Tribolium castaneum: one gene and its partners. The protein of the gene in region 1 purifies or fractionates together with the protein of each later gene. This does not show direct contact. Links are inferred from orthologs where the notes say so. Each region holds a gene or a part of one and is shown in the gene's direction. Other genes may lie near its edges.

Region 1 (5,402 bases):
TTAGCTTACGTAACTCTCCAAATATTTAGGGATAAATTATGGATTCACACTAAATGCATTGCATATCCAAACAGGTATGTACCCACTTTAGACTTTTTCACTTCTGGATCACTTTCATACTTCCTTTTCCGCCCATCCACAATTTCGCTCTTTGCAAATTTCATCACACCTTTTTATTGCCAAGAGTACGCAACGACAAATTCTTACAAGCTTTTGCAATTCTTTGAGGTCATTTCTAATATCAACTCATATGTTACTACCAGCCAGTGATACAGAATTCCACATTTGTCTCTCACTGTTATATCACACATTTATTCAAATCGATGTGTTTCAAACTGTTGCTATTTCCGTTCCCTATTTCGACATTGTACCTCATTTTGAAACAAGCTTAATGTCAAGAGGTTTTTATTTACGAGAATTCTACTTTGCAGTATTTGCCAAACCGTTCGCCAAATGTTCCCAAAAGTGGAGAAACAATTAAGGAAATGCCTCTAACTTTGGTGATCGTTTCTAGCTTCAAATGTGGAACTTTTTCTTACGAGATTCGTCAAAAAAGTTTTGCTCAAGAAGCCCTTCTTAGTATAAACTTTCAGCTAACGTTTTAATTCAATAAATTGTTTGCGAAGTTTATTCATTGTTCTCTTAGTAATAAATTAAATACAACATCTACCTATAATTTGTAATATTTTACTTTTTATAGTACAATCAAAAATATCGATTCAAACGTTCCCAATGTTTTTTTAAAAGCTTGAGCTTCATCAATTTTTTTAATTGTATAACTTTGACTGTTATTGTTTTAATTGTTGACAATTTTAACAAAGTTATTTATTCATAAACATTGAAGTCGTTGATGTTAGTTTGTACACCTGATGTTTTTAGGCAATTGTAATTTATTGGGTAGGTATTATACCTGTGTAACTGTAATATAAAGAAAATCCACCGTTTCTAATTATTTTTTCTGGGGAGATTGAAAAGTCTTGGTACTCATAAGCAGACAAAACAATTTTTTGTCTTTCTAATCTAATTTTAACGGCTAATAAAAAATATTATAACTTTTATTTTTTTTTTAATTTGTATTTAGACAAAGGAAAGGGCCATCGGGACCCGGGCCCGTGTTCCACGAATCCGAGGCTCAGTACGGCACTGTAGGAAATGTGCACTGTGTGAGTTAGAATATGATCATTGATCAATGATCAAACATCAAAAAGGAACGACTGTATTGAGTATTTCAACTGTAATAAGAAATCTTCTACATATCGCTTCTGTAGTGTCAAAAATTAGTTTTTGTATTTTTTTTAAATGAGGCTTATTTCTCCCTGAATTATCAATACAAGGATGGATTAATTCGTGGTCTCTTATAGAGAGCAATTTTTTTGAAGAGTTACCGGAATCGACCCATAAGGATGGGATAAAGACTTCGGAACACCGATTGACCAAGTGCACATAACTAGAAGGAGGTTATAGTGAAAAGTAAAGCAAAAAATGTTTGGCCAAATTATTATTTTCTATGTGAGGCCACGACTTAATCATCCCACCCTCGTAGAATAGAATAATAGAAGGGCAAAGAAAATTTAAATGTACTCATGTTGGTAAATTATTATTAATGAAGTTTATAAAGGATCAAAAATACATAACAAACGAAGAAAAACAAAATATAAATAATATAAAAAATATAAATATAATATAAAAATAAATTGCCGTAGTAGGGTGCTATTTGAAAAAAAAATCGAAAACTAAAAGGAATTAAAAAAATATTTTTAAAGTAGTTGATAATGTAATAATTAGTTTTTCTTAAAGTACATAGTTTAGGCACATAACAATTAGCTTCATACTTTTGCCAAACGATGTATGTTATTTTGTAGGTATTTCCCCTAACATAATTCATAAAGCTTAATTTCCTTTCTCGTTTGTTATTAAATTTTGCTAAAAATAAGTCAAAATCCAAGTGGAGTAATAATTATTACTAGATATATTTTTCTTAAAAAAAAAATGCATACTTGATGTTGCATGTCCATCTGATGACCCTCTGTCGCTTCAACTTTAAAAAATAAAAAACATCCATGTTTATGGTGTTTTTGAAATAGCTAAAATGATGTCTATTTCAAAATTTACTTAAGTAATAACAAAGAAAGAAAAAAAAATATTATAAACTTCTCTATTTAAATTTTTATAAAACGTATGACCTGAAATTTGTTTAGGAAGGGCTTCGCCCTGTGGGGCCCTACGCTGGCTACGGCCCTTGTAAATTATCCTAATGATTTTGAACCAATTACCATAGTGTTTATTTTTTTTGTCAGGAAAATTGAAAAAATTATATTGAATTCTCATTTAGCGAGAGAGATAAAAATCAAAACCTTTAAAACGAAATTAACAAAATGAACCAAGTGCTCAATACCACCGAGTTTAGTATAGGCAACCCATAAAACACAACGTTTTTAATTATTTTTCTTTGTAATTCTTATAATTTTTTTATTACTTAGTTAAGTAATGTGGTATAGGAAAATGTTTGAACCATATTATTTTAAATTAAATTAATCATTGTAAAATTGTCCTTGTTTATTTTAATTGAAAATATGTCTTATTTAATTCGACTATATAAAAAGCGGAGCAAATTAGTGAAGTAATTAGTTGACAAAATAACTAAGGCCGTAAGTGGCTGAATATTTGTTATAATTTATAATTTAAATAAAATAGAATACGAATTTTGTGTTGGTGCCCTCGCCCCAGCGCTGCCAACCCACCGTGCGCTGTCATTGTCAATTTTTGACACATGTGAATTCAAGTTGAATTTCATCATAATAATCACGGGTCATGGTTGTGTTTTGTCCTTTCTGTGGAAATTTGCTATTCGCTCAACAGACCTGCGGCCGATTAGGTTTTGCGTGTCGCATCTGCCCCGTGTCATTCCCCATTCGTGGAAAAATCTCGAATCGCACGTACTTCCAAGTGAAGGTAAAACCCAAATAACCCACTATCATTGTTCCAACTCCGTCACGCTTTCAGTCCGTTGATGACGTGCTCGGCGGCGAAGACGCCTGGAAAAACTGCGACGTAACAGCGGAAACGTGTCCAGAATGCAGCCACCCCCACGCCTACTTCCTCCAGGTCCAGACCCGCTCTGCTGACGAGCCCATGACCAACTTCTACCGCTGCTGCAACCCCGAATGCGCCCACAACTGGCGAGAGTAGGCGATGCGTTTTTTCGCCCCCCTTTTCAAAAAACTCTCCCCGAAGCGGGCTTCTATGGCATTGCACGTCCCCATCAGGGACCCACATGCTGAGGCTTTAGCCGTTGATTTGTTAAAGTCGGGCCGCGTGATCGCCCTCCCTACGGACACCGTCTACGGACTTGCCTGTGACGCGACGAACATAACCTCAATTAACAAACTCTATAGCATTAAGGGGCGCAACGAAGCCAAACCTGTGGCGATCTGTCTCGGGGACGTCCCCCAGGTGAAGGCTTGGGCCAAAATCGGGCACTTGCCCCAAGGTTTGCTCGAAAGTCTGCTCCCAGGCCCAGTGACTGTCATTCTGACTAGTGCAAGCACACTTGATAAGTCACTCAGTTTTAACGCTAAAGTGGGGATTCGAATCCCCGATTATCACTTTATTCGGGCTTTGGCCCGCGGTTTGGGACGCCCTTTGGCCCTCACAAGTGCCAATTTAAGCAACGAGCCAAGTTCGTTAACAATCAACGAATTTCAAGACTTGTGGGCTCAGGTTGGTGCAGTTTTTGACGGTGGTAATTTAGGACTTGACGATTCGAGACGACGTGCGTCCACCGTTATTGACTTATCAGAATGCGGTTTGTTCACAATCGTGCGACACGGTATTGCGGTTGATAAAACTGTTGCGATTTTGCACAAGTTCGGGTTAATTAACAAACATGAATAAGTTGTTTAAAAGTGTGCACACGTCGAGTAATAAAGACAATTTAATTAAGAAGTCGATCACGGATCACTTGTCGAATAGTGTGAAAGCGATACAGTATTGCGGAGTTGAAGAAAATGGACTCAATAAAGCTGAGGATGTTACCGAAGCTTCGAACACGCTGTGTATGACGATTGAAGCTATTTTTCTGCACGGTTTGAAGGACTCCTTGAGTAAAAGGTTCAAAAGGGCCATTGCAGATGTTGACGAACGGCCAGAGCCCAGCTTCTGGGCCCCCTTACTTGTCATATCACATCGACAAATCATAGACCAGGTAACAAAGGATTTAGCATTTTTTCCAATTCTCAAAAACTAACGCACATAATTCAGAATTTTGGTACAGTTCCTCATAATTAATAGTTATTTACCGAGTTTGAGTGTAAATCTGACGCTCTGTTGCTGAGTGGATTTTTAAACGTCGAGTGGTCACCGATTTACACAAAAACGAGATGAATACAACATTTTATTTTTATTTTATTTTAAATTTGTCAAAAATAATCTGACGTTTCGCATTGAGAAATGCCAAACAGTTGTCAAAACTTTCTTACACAAGAGAAAAACCGTAAATTTTGACAGTGTTGAAAAATAAAACTTATTAAATTAATATTAAGTGGCTGCAAAAATTATTATTTATTGTCATCAATTCATTATTTTATTTTCCAACAGACTTCTTAGTCTATAGACTAAGAAAATATTGACATTATTTCAAATAGCACAGACCGATTACACACCCCAGGGTCATCCAGTATATCCTTGAAGTTTGAATGTTCTTCTTTAAAGTGGTGAAAGTTTTACTCTCCTGAGTTTTTTAAAAAGCATGTTTTTGTCAAAAAAATCAAATTATTTCAAAAACAAAGCAAAATCGACCAATAACAATCAGTGTTAAAACCTACATTCAAAAATGCAAAAAATATAGGTTGTTCCATTTAAAAAAATATAAGTTTGTGTTGTAGTTAATTTCGGAGTCACCCTGTATATTTGAAAATAGTTTTAAGAGAGTCAGGGGGTTATTATGTACCGCTTTCGTAAAAAAAGATTTAAAGGTCAATAATGGACTTTTTCAGATTGCATAGACAACCTGTATTTACATACAGTATTAGGCAAAAGTATGGAACCAAGCGTTTTGTGTCAAAACTATGTACCTTAAAAAAAACTAATTAGTACATCATCCAACACTTCTAAAATGTGATCATTTTTGAAAATTTTTTTTTTCAAAATTCTTTTTAGTTTTGGAATTATTCAAAAAAAAATTAAATATATGGTACCCTACTACGGAGATTTTTTTTGGTAAAAATGTCTTTTAATTTAATTATATTGTTTTTCTAATAATATATTAAAATTGTGTTCTGAGTTCATTACGAAGGTGGGCCGAAGTGGCCAAGCGTAAAAAAATCCACTTCGGTCAAGTTTGAAAAATCTTTGTAGTACGCTTGGAACTCAACTTTAATAACTTATTTAAAAACAAACACTGG
Region 2 (5,672 bases), on another chromosome or scaffold:
AATCCTTGCTCAAGCGGTTGAGTAAATTGAGGACTTTTGTCATTTGTTGTTCGCAGTTTTCGTCAATCATCAAAAAACATTTGGGTTTGACTTCTTCCTACAAGAATTGTTAATTTTAAATTGATTCAGATGCGAATTATACTTCATTTGTTTCCCAAGGACTCTTGTAATGTGAGGACAAAGCGCTGAAACGTTTGATAAATCGGGTCCAAGTTGCGGAAAATGAGTAACTGACGAGCCACATGGCGTCGGTGATGCACAATAATGAGTCGAAAATAAAATCCGTGCACAGTAACACTGAAATTTAAAAAAATCGCCTCATTTTATTAAAAACAAATCATATTTTACTATATTATCAGAAGCTATAAAGTGTGTTTTCACCCGTAGTTGAAGGACAAAGATAAAGGTGACATTTTCAAGGCTAACAAATCTTTCATTTCTCAGAATTTTGTTAGTTCGATAACTTTTTTAAAGTTTCCATTATTCAATTGAGAAGAAACTGCTCTTTTTAAAAATATTAAATTTGACCCTTGTCAAAAAAAATTAAGTAAGTTTTGTATCTCCAAAAAAATGGAGATAGAAATTTGAGACGATAGAATTTAAATACTTTAAATACCTGTATAAATAGCTATTAAGTGAAAACTGTGGTAACGAATTACCAATGAAGGAACTTAATACAAACAAGTAATTTTAATTTGGTAATTAGGGCAATAATATCAATAGATGGAGCCACATTAAACCTACCTTTGTATTGGCCACCTCTCATAAAAGCCCATTCTTCCTCACAAACCTCGATTTGTTCCTTAGTCGAATCATCATTTAAAGCCATGACTTCGATGCCGTTTCGAACCAACCATTTATTCAAATCGCTTATTTCATTATTATGGCACACAACAATAGTTTTAAAAAGATGACTCTTGTCTCTTAATAATCCTTCAATGTAGTGTTTCTTGTTTTGTGACACTAAAAACTTTACTTCGAATTGGATGTTCCCATATAGAGCTGCTTCCAAATAATTCCCTATGCAAACAAGTGGTGTTACATAAATCGATTTGAGTAATTTTTGCAAATCCGATGTCCATTTTGTTGAAGCTACTATGAATTGGACTTTGGTGCTACACATCCTGTGTTCAAGCATTTCATCAGTGACTTCCAAAATTTTGTAAATTTCTTCGTGATTGTTTTTTAGTAAACAACTCGCGTCTTCTAACACCAAGTGACACATTCGTTTCAAATTAAAAGTCCGAGATTTAAGGCAATGTGTAAGAGTGCTGGGGATTGTAATCACGATATCAACGCTGTTCTGAAAATAACAAATGACTAAAAAATAGTCAAGCGCGATCATTTGAATTTATAAAAAGAGTAGGTGTTTTTTTCTTTGTGATTGTTAAGCTGGTGCAAACTGAAGGAAAAATCTATTTTAACTGAGTATTACCGTTCGAAACAGTATTATTACTTGACTCTTCGGCTTGATTAATTATGATAATCGGCGTTTTCATATAAGTTAAAAAACTAATAAGCCCACTCTGGTTATAAATTCTAATGATCTCATGATATGTTTCCCTTCACACGATTGGTCGCATTCGTGTTATTGCCATGGTTATCTGCTGTAACTATGGTTACAAGAGAATTTGTCAGTGGAAACCAACAGATGGCCCCACACAATGCGACCAGCTACGTGAAGGGCAAGCTGTGTGACTTACAATGTGGTGGACTGGATATGTCATGAGGGCAATTTTTGGTTTAGTGGCACTATTTTCAAACAGTTTTTTCATCAAATCGTATACATCTTCACAATGTTTGCTGTTTGGACAAATAATAACCACTAACGGGCCCTTGTACTTTGATAATTGTCGATATTTTTCCTCTTCAGCTGTACTGAAGGTACAAAGGGCCGGGAGATACGACATGGTTTTCCCCGACTTAGGCCCCCCTACCATAACAACATTCAATTGTCTGAAAATTGCGGGCCAGACGAATGATTGGATTGGTAAACTATACTTGTAGTTAAGGCGACCCAAAGCAGCTTGAATTTCGTCGCTAAAGTAGGTGTCTGTTAGCAACTTTACAGGCTGGGGGATCACCTCCCTGAAATTATTTTTCAATAATTTTAATTGGTCTAAAGTGGCGCAAAGTACCCGTGAACTAGGGTCTTCAAGTAGCTTTGTTTCTCAATTTTTGTCAATGTGCCAGGATTGAAAGTGAAGATCTTAGGGGTTTTCCCTGGATGTCGTGCCGATCGTAACAAGGGTTGAATCTTCCGCTCTTTGCAAACACGTTTGTGGTGCCCCTCGAACTCCAAATCCGGCGTTGTCCAGTCGGCGCTTTGGGTCCAATGGACGCAGTTCTGGCACTCACACGCCGGTTTCATGAACATCTCTGGATTGTCGATTTCGGGCTCAAAAGTCTGCTTTGGGGCTCCATCACTATCGGAGTGTTTTTGCTCGTCGCTGTCGAAAGGGTCTTTCTCCCTGGTGGCCATTGCGACTGAAAGGCCTTAAGTAGGGCAAAAACGTGTGCAAATTCACAAAAACACACCACAACAAAACACAACAAAAATTATTTAATTCTAGGGACTTCCAAATTTGAATGATGCAACCTGTTGCAAATATGAATAGTCTCCAAAAAGTAATTTTCGGAATTTCGGCTTTAAAACAATTACTGAAACAGTTGCATAACTAATCCCACGGTAAATTGTTACCAAATTCGGGTTTCTTATTGTAATAACTTTGCGAAATTAATTTTAAAAACTCTGGAAAATACGTTAGTTTATTTGGGTTTATAGATTGGTACCACTATTCCATGTGTTTTCGGCGCGTCCTGTGCAACACAACCTCAAAATTTCACGAAGCTGTTAACAAGTTTAACAATTGTTAAACGATGTTTATAGTGGCTGAAATGAAAAATGTGACCCGAATACCCCCCGAACTGTTCAACTTGAAACTAAACGACGCCATAGCCGGAGAATTAAACAAAAAACTAGCAAACAAGGTGAGATTAGAAGCACATTTCAGCCCCTTTTAACCCCCAGTTTAAGGTAGTCCTCAACGTTGGTTTGTGTATAGCTTTATACGACATTACCAGTCTCCAAGAATCGTTTATATTTCCCGGTGATGGGGCTTCACACACTAGAGTCAGCTTCAGGTACATCGTTTTTCGCCCCTTTATTGAGGAGATTCTCGTGGGGAAAATCAGGAGTTGCAGTCAGGAAGGGGTTCACGGTACGACAATTATATTGTGAAATGTTAAATATGATTGCGAATTTTAGTGACTCTTGGTTTCTTTGACGATATTTTGATCCCTCCCAGTGCCCTTCAGCACCCTTCAAAGTTTAACGAAACTGAACAAGCATGGGTGTGGGAGTATGACACAGGAGACGGGTGCAAACATGACCTTTTCATGGATGCTGGTGAAACGATCAAATTTCGCGTAACTGCGGAGTTTTTTAATGAGACTTGCCCCACTGGTAGTTTACAAGAAACACAAGACAAGTCCGAAAATAAAGTGCCGTATAGTTTAACTGTAAGAAAAAAACTTGGGTTTGTATGACTTGATTAAAATTATTTGTTTGTCACAGGGGAGCATAAATGAGCCAGGTTTGGGATTGTTGTCTTGGTGGGATAATTAAGGTAATTAATTTTATGGAAGGGATATAAAGTATGAACGTGTGTAAAATATCATTCTGATTTACTTGCGAAACATATTCTCATTATTTACACCACATTAACTAAATTAAAACTAGGGAAAAGTCGAATCAAACACGAGACAAGGTGACGAACGATACCGAATTAAACCGTAAAATCACAGCTTTCTTGATCAGTAACACATTGTGTGGCGCCATCTGTTGTTATTTTTCTGTCAATTTGTGATTGGTCAAGAAAGCCGTGTGTAAAATAATCGAGTGTTATTGCACAATCTAGTATCAAATATAACAAGTGGACAAGTGGTTCACTTATTCTATAACGAGGCAACGCGGAAGATGTTCTCTCAAATAATCGAAAAGTTCTTTTGATGCCCCTGGACAATTTGTTAATTCTAATTCTCTCATATGTCGTAACTGAATCAGACTTGATAAACCACTAGAAGTCAATAATGGACACCCTGAAATTTCGAATTCAGTTATTTATGTCATTATTTGTGGTATGTGGCAGACCTGCTAACGATAGTATTTGCAAATTTCTCATTCCGCATAAATGCTGAAGTCCAAAGTCTCGAATTTGTGAACACCAGCGCAGATAGAGTGCAGATAGAGACAACATTGTTGAAATGTAACCAATGCCAATGTCGGTGATGTGAACACATCTGTGAAATAAAGCGAATAAAGCGGATTGCGTTTTGATCAGTGGCCACCAGTTATTGCAACTTTAAAAAATACATTAAACACAATGCAAGTGTTTCTGCTAAAAGTATTTTTTACTATATCTCAAAAACTAATAATCGCATAGGAATCACGGTGTGTTGCTTTATATTTAATGTTTTTTTCCACACAAGTGAATTTTTTCAGAATTTTTTACCCTCCCTTATAGAGTTATTTATAAAAATATTAAGATCAGTATTAATAGTAATTAATACTAGTAATTAATATCAGTAATATCAGTAAAAATAAACATAAACTAATGGAAATTTTATTATTTATAGTGTTATCCTGAAACAAGGTTTTGGACAAAAAATTGATAATAAGCTTAATCTACCACCGCAGCATGTATTTAAATATTTTTTAATTAAAAATTAAAAAATAAAAAATTGGGAAAAATTACTTTTAGGATTTTTTGCACAAAATAACATCTTAAAATGCTTAAGAAATAATTAATTAATACAGATTGGAGTTTTATGAGGTTAAAACTTACTTTAATTAGGAAGCAAAAAATATTGGAAAAACAGAAATTACGTGTTAAAATCTGGTATTTTCCGATATATTTTTTTAATTCCTACATCAGGAATAATAAAAACATATTTTTTATTGTAAAACATTCTATTACAAAAACAAACAAAACGAAATATCTTTTGTAAAAAATTTTCTTGTTGAAAAAAATTGTTATTTATTGTATAAGGGTCTTAGATGTATTTTATCTCCGTAAAGATTTAAACTCGAGAAGTAAATTCGAGCGTTTAATTAAGGGGATAAAAAAAGAAGTTAATTAATCGTTTAACTTAAATATTGTTTTAAATTTGCTGGTGTAAAATTGGTTCGTTTTCTGTAAGAATTTCTTTCAACCAAAAAATGAACTCACTGTATCTATTTTTTATAAAAAAAAATTACACTACTTTAAACATTACAACATTAAAAAGTAATTTAGTCTGCAACTAGCATTTTTCCCTAGAAAGTAGAAGATACTGAAAATGAGAAACACTAATAATTGAAACACACAGTCTAAAATAAAAAATCAATATACTCGTATTAAGAGACTGAAATGCTAAAATGCTTACAAGCTGAATTAAAAAAATAAAAAAATAGTGAAATTGAATTCTATACACGGTGATTCAAAAGTACCGTACAATTTCTTGGGTGCTGAATTAAAAGTTCCTATGACAAAAAATTGTTTGAACCCTCTTTCACGAGATTTAGGTCTTCAAACTTAAATTTTTAAGTTAATTTTTGTTTCATATCATACTTTTTGACTTTCGTTAGCGAGCTCTTGCAACATTAAACAAATACAAATTAAAAAAAACAA
Region 3 (3,997 bases), on another chromosome or scaffold:
TCAACAAAGGAACAGAAGCTTTGTTAAGACCTTGAGTTCCTACTACAACTACTAGTTATTTATTTCACGATACTGTTTGCTGATTAAAAATAAAGTTTGTAAGTTTGTTATAAAACTAGTTTTACGTTCTTTTTTCGACAATTTCAAAATTCCTTTTTTGCTCAGAATCTCTATTTTTCTCTTCTACAGTTGTTGTTTTAAGCTATAACTGGTCAAACCAAGCGAACTAAACCGTTTTTTAACCGAGCGAATTCTATAGAGTCCAGTTGACCAAATCAAAATAAATACATATTTTCAAGTATTGCTGGTTCGTAATTAATCAATATTGCCGGGAATCGATACTTACGTTCTGTTCCAAGGGCGCCGACCTGAAGTGGTTATCCATATAATGCGCCCCTTCCAACAACTGGAGAAAATTCTCGAACCCAATCGCCAGCGAAATACTAAGCCCGATAGCGGACCACAGGGAATACCTACCTCCAACCCAGTCCCAAAACTCAAACATATTGGCCGTATCGATGCCAAACTCCTTCACTTTCGGCCCATTTGTGCTCAAAGCAACGAAATGTTTAGCAACAGCAGCAGGCTAAAAACCCAGTTAAAACAACAAAAAATTGCATTTTTGCAAGCAAATTACATCTTTAGCATGGGTTAAGAACCACTGCTTGGCCGAAGTGGCATTGGTTATTGTCTCCTGTGTTGTGAATGTTTTCGAAGCAATGATAAAAAGTACAGACTCAGCGTCGATTTTTTTCAAAACTTCGGCTAAATGCGTACCGTCGATGTTCGACACGAAATGCATTCGCAAGCCGCGACCGTACGCCTTCAGGGCTTCGGTCACCATAAGGGGGCCCAGGTCGGAGCCCCCGATGCCAATATTCACCACGTCGGTGATGGGCTTGCCTGTGTAACTGAAAGCGAAAAAATTACCTGTTATTATGCAACAATAATTGAATTAATTACCCCTTCCACTGCCCGCTCAGGACCGAATTAGTGAACTGCTTCATGTGCTCCAGGACCGCATTCACCTCCGGCATCACATTTTTCCCATCGACTAGAATCGCCTGATTGGAGCGATTACGCAAAGCCGTGTGCAGTACGGCCCTGTCCTCTGTAAAGTTGATTTTCTGCCCGGAAAACATTGCATCGCGTGCATTTTCGACCTTGCGGGCGCGGGCCAAGGAAAACAACAGTTTGAGAACATCGGAATTGATGCGGTTTTTCGAATAATCGACCAGGATGTCGCCATCGTTGGGCGTTTTCAGCTTCAAGCTGAAAAAAAATCAAACAATAATATTATCTCAGTGGCCTCCGGTTAGTGAAAACAAACTCCAGTGCAAGGACGCGTAGAGGTCACTCGGCTTTTCCAATTTTCCGGGCGATTTTTCAATGAAACGCGCTTGACACTCACCTGAAGTTGTTGAAGCGGTTCGGGTCCTGGGCGAAAAGGTCCTTAATCACCAGCTTTGAGGCGTTCTTGTTGTAATAATCTTGGAGTTGTTGCCAAGTTGGCTCCGAAGTCAAGGGTCCGACTTCCATGCTGTCAGATGTCAAAGTCACGCCTTTCGATTGTTTGGCGATCGTTTTGTGTTTTTCATCGTCGCCGATTGGGCACGCGCAGCGCACGGTGTGATAAATACAAATTACATACTTCAGACGAGAAACTCTCATCTAATTATTGATTTCTCACAACTAATTTTAATTAATCAATCCACTTACCGCAAATTATTAATTAAACTTGAATTTGGATGCGTCATAGTGACAATGACAGGAATGACAGGGAAAAACAAACGCCAACTATGTTAAAAAAATTTATTCAATTTAATTCATTACAAAGCTAAACCTTATTTATTTCCTGCAACTTCTCGTCCTGGTATTTGTAGTGCAAGTCCATACAGTCGTTGTTATCAATATGCACCCAGCCGGTCGGCTTCATATGGTACACCCTGACGATACCACCAGAATAGGCGTCCCGATGGGTGGCATGGTAAATCGACCGGCGCCCCAAATCATACGCCTCCTCATCCGTCAAATCCCACTTGTACCCCGAATCCAGGACGCCAAACGCATAAATGGAGCCCGAGCCAACACTGAAGACTTTCCCAGGGGTTCTGGTCCCCTCCGAATCCACGTAATACAGCTGGGGCCCCTGAACAACAACACTGATCAAGCGGTCTAACTTGTTCAAATAAATACCCTTTTGTCCCATCCTGCCAGCATCATGCCCATTGACAGCCCCATCCCCTTGTAATTATACACCATGTTGGCCATCAGTTTCGAGGCGGCTGCGACCGAAATCCGCTCCCGGTTGCGTAATTCGTACATGCGGCACTGCTTAGCCAGGACGCGGTCCCAATACACACAGTCAGCGGCGCCCCCGGCCAAAGTCCCCAGGAGAAAATCATTGATTTCGACGATTTTCTTCATGGTTTGGGAGCCGATGAATTGGCCCCCCGTGGCTCGGGAGTCCACGGCGAGCACTACGCCCCCCTTGTACATGAACCCCAGCGTGGTGGTGCCGTGGTCAAACTTGATTTTGATGTCCCGACCTGACTCGTCCTTCGAGAAGTAGGCCAGGTTCTCGGCCGGCTGTCACAAATTTGTTATCTGGGGGTATTTTCAAGGGGCTACTTACGTTAGAATAGGGGGGTACGCTGAGCAAAGTGTTGTGGGTGAAGTTGTTGCTCATTTTGGCGATTTCGTTGTCGAAGGGGGCTTCGCGTCTGAAGGTGTCGAAGTCCGACATTCCGCAAATCTCGGCTAAAGCCATTTTGGGGCAGTTTTGTTTGGTTCAAATGACGGTGCGAAAACACAACTAGCACCTAACCTCTAATGTCAAATGGATGATGGTGGTGGTTATGGTGTGTAAAGTTACGTCTTGTTGTGAGAAAATGTCCCAATTCCAAGACGTGCAAAACCAGAAATCGTTTCAATACTTATACGAGGTGGAAACTCTAGCGCAAGACATTTTAACTGAAAAAGAAACAAAGTTGGATTTGTCCAATTCCAGGAATAAGTTTAGGGAAGCCCTGAGGGCCCTGGAGGGCACAGAGGACCGAAGGGCTTGGATGCAGCTCGGTTCAGTTTTTATTGAACGACCGACTAGTGAATGTAAGGAGATTTTAAAAACAGGTCCGCAAAAAATATTTTTTTTACAATATTCTGACCAAAGTTTTTTAGAAATTGCAAACGCTGATAAGGATATTTTAGAGTTGGATAAAAATATTAAGAGCAAAATCCATAAATTAAGGGATTTGGAACATGAACCAAGGTTAGAGGGCTTCACCTTGAAACCCATTTCCTCGGCAGAGGCTAAAGCGTTACATAAAGCGTTCGGTGCAGTGTAAATTAATTAAGATTTTGTCAGTCCCAAGTCCACAATTAAATAATTGTAAATACAAACGTTTCTCAAATTTATTGTTTGACACTTCTGACAGTTTAACCGGTTGAATCTAACCTCACCTTTTAATTTTTAATTCGATTTACGTAAAATTTCAAATGAAAGTTGCGGCCGGCTTTGTGATTTATAAAAAGGCCTGCGATAATATTTTGTATCTTTTATTGCAAACTTCGTATGGCGAACACCACTGGACCCCTCCTAAAGGTAACCTTCAGTTTTTCCTTTCAAAAATAATAATGTTTTGTCAGGGCATGTGGACCCTGGTGAGACTGAGATGGTGACTGCCCTTCGGGAAACGATGGAAGAGTCCGGTTTGAAGCAGGAAGATTTGAAAATCTTCGACGATGTGAAGAAAATTTTAAATTACAACGTAAAGGGGAAACCCAAGAAAGTTATTTACTGGCTTGCCGAACTCACAAACCCCAAGGCTGAGGTGAAATTATCAGAGGAGCACCAAGACTTCAAGTGGTTGAAACTCGACGACGCTTGCACTTATGCAAAATACGCCGACCTCCAAGAGTCGCTCCAGTTTTTCGATAATTATATACGTTCCAACAAAAACTAATTATTGTTATATATTATTAAATAAAAAAATAA

What was found. Proteins that work in one complex are often made in the same cells at the same time.
Region 2: the proteins of Polr3K (region 1) and Polr3H purify together in Homo sapiens (affinity purification with mass spectrometry; 3 studies listed by BioGRID and IntAct, with this or other methods). This does not show direct contact. The link is inferred for Tribolium castaneum from reciprocal best matches to the Homo sapiens genes POLR3K and POLR3H.
Region 3: the proteins of Polr3K (region 1) and Pdrg1 purify together in Homo sapiens (affinity purification with mass spectrometry; 3 studies listed by BioGRID and IntAct, with this or other methods). This does not show direct contact. The link is inferred for Tribolium castaneum from reciprocal best matches to the Homo sapiens genes POLR3K and PDRG1.

The regions. Positions count from the first base shown.
Region 1 is NC_087403.1:7,843,300-7,848,701, forward strand, and holds Polr3K (DNA-directed RNA polymerase III subunit RPC10), read left to right. Parts: upstream 1-2,726; 5' UTR 2,727-2,811; coding exon 2,812-2,952; intron 2,953-3,003; coding exon 3,004-3,189; 3' UTR 3,190-3,192; downstream 3,193-5,402. Other genes in the region: Tcs1 (threonylcarbamoyl-AMP synthase), read left to right, coding at 3,193-3,894; Plekhm1 (pleckstrin homology domain-containing family M member 1), read left to right, coding at 3,887-4,204. UniProt on the Homo sapiens protein: Core component of RNA polymerase III (Pol III) which synthesizes small non-coding RNAs using the four ribonucleoside triphosphates as substrates. Can mediate Pol I proofreading of the nascent RNA transcript.
Region 2 is NC_087394.1:25,642,889-25,648,560, forward strand, and holds the start of Polr3H (DNA-directed RNA polymerase III subunit RPC8), read left to right. Parts: upstream 1-2,786; 5' UTR 2,787-2,880; coding exon 2,881-2,991; intron 2,992-3,037; coding exon 3,038-3,221; intron 3,222-3,268; coding exon 3,269-3,522; intron 3,523-3,577; coding exon 3,578-3,628; 3' UTR 3,629-3,629; intron 3,630-3,670; exon of another isoform or gene 3,671-3,952; coding exon of another isoform or gene 3,953-4,101; intron 4,102-4,153; coding exon of another isoform or gene 4,154-4,302; intron 4,303-5,672. Other genes in the region: putative ATP-dependent RNA helicase TDRD12, read right to left, coding at 1-97, 143-297, 745-1,303, 1,704-2,088, 2,139-2,482; F-box/LRR-repeat protein 16, read right to left, coding at 3,953-4,101, 4,154-4,302.
Region 3 is NC_087396.1:22,906,131-22,910,127, forward strand, and holds Pdrg1 (p53 and DNA damage-regulated protein 1), read left to right. Parts: upstream 1-2,843; coding exon 2,844-3,132; intron 3,133-3,180; coding exon 3,181-3,347; 3' UTR 3,348-3,411; downstream 3,412-3,997. Other genes in the region: Pgi (glucose-6-phosphate isomerase), read right to left, coding at 347-586, 638-911, 964-1,272, 1,412-1,671; Prosbeta5 (proteasome subunit beta type-5), read right to left, coding at 1,838-2,149, 2,197-2,589, 2,636-2,770; Datp (bis(5'-nucleosyl)-tetraphosphatase [asymmetrical]), read left to right, coding at 3,499-3,604, 3,649-3,965. UniProt on the Homo sapiens protein: May play a role in chaperone-mediated protein folding.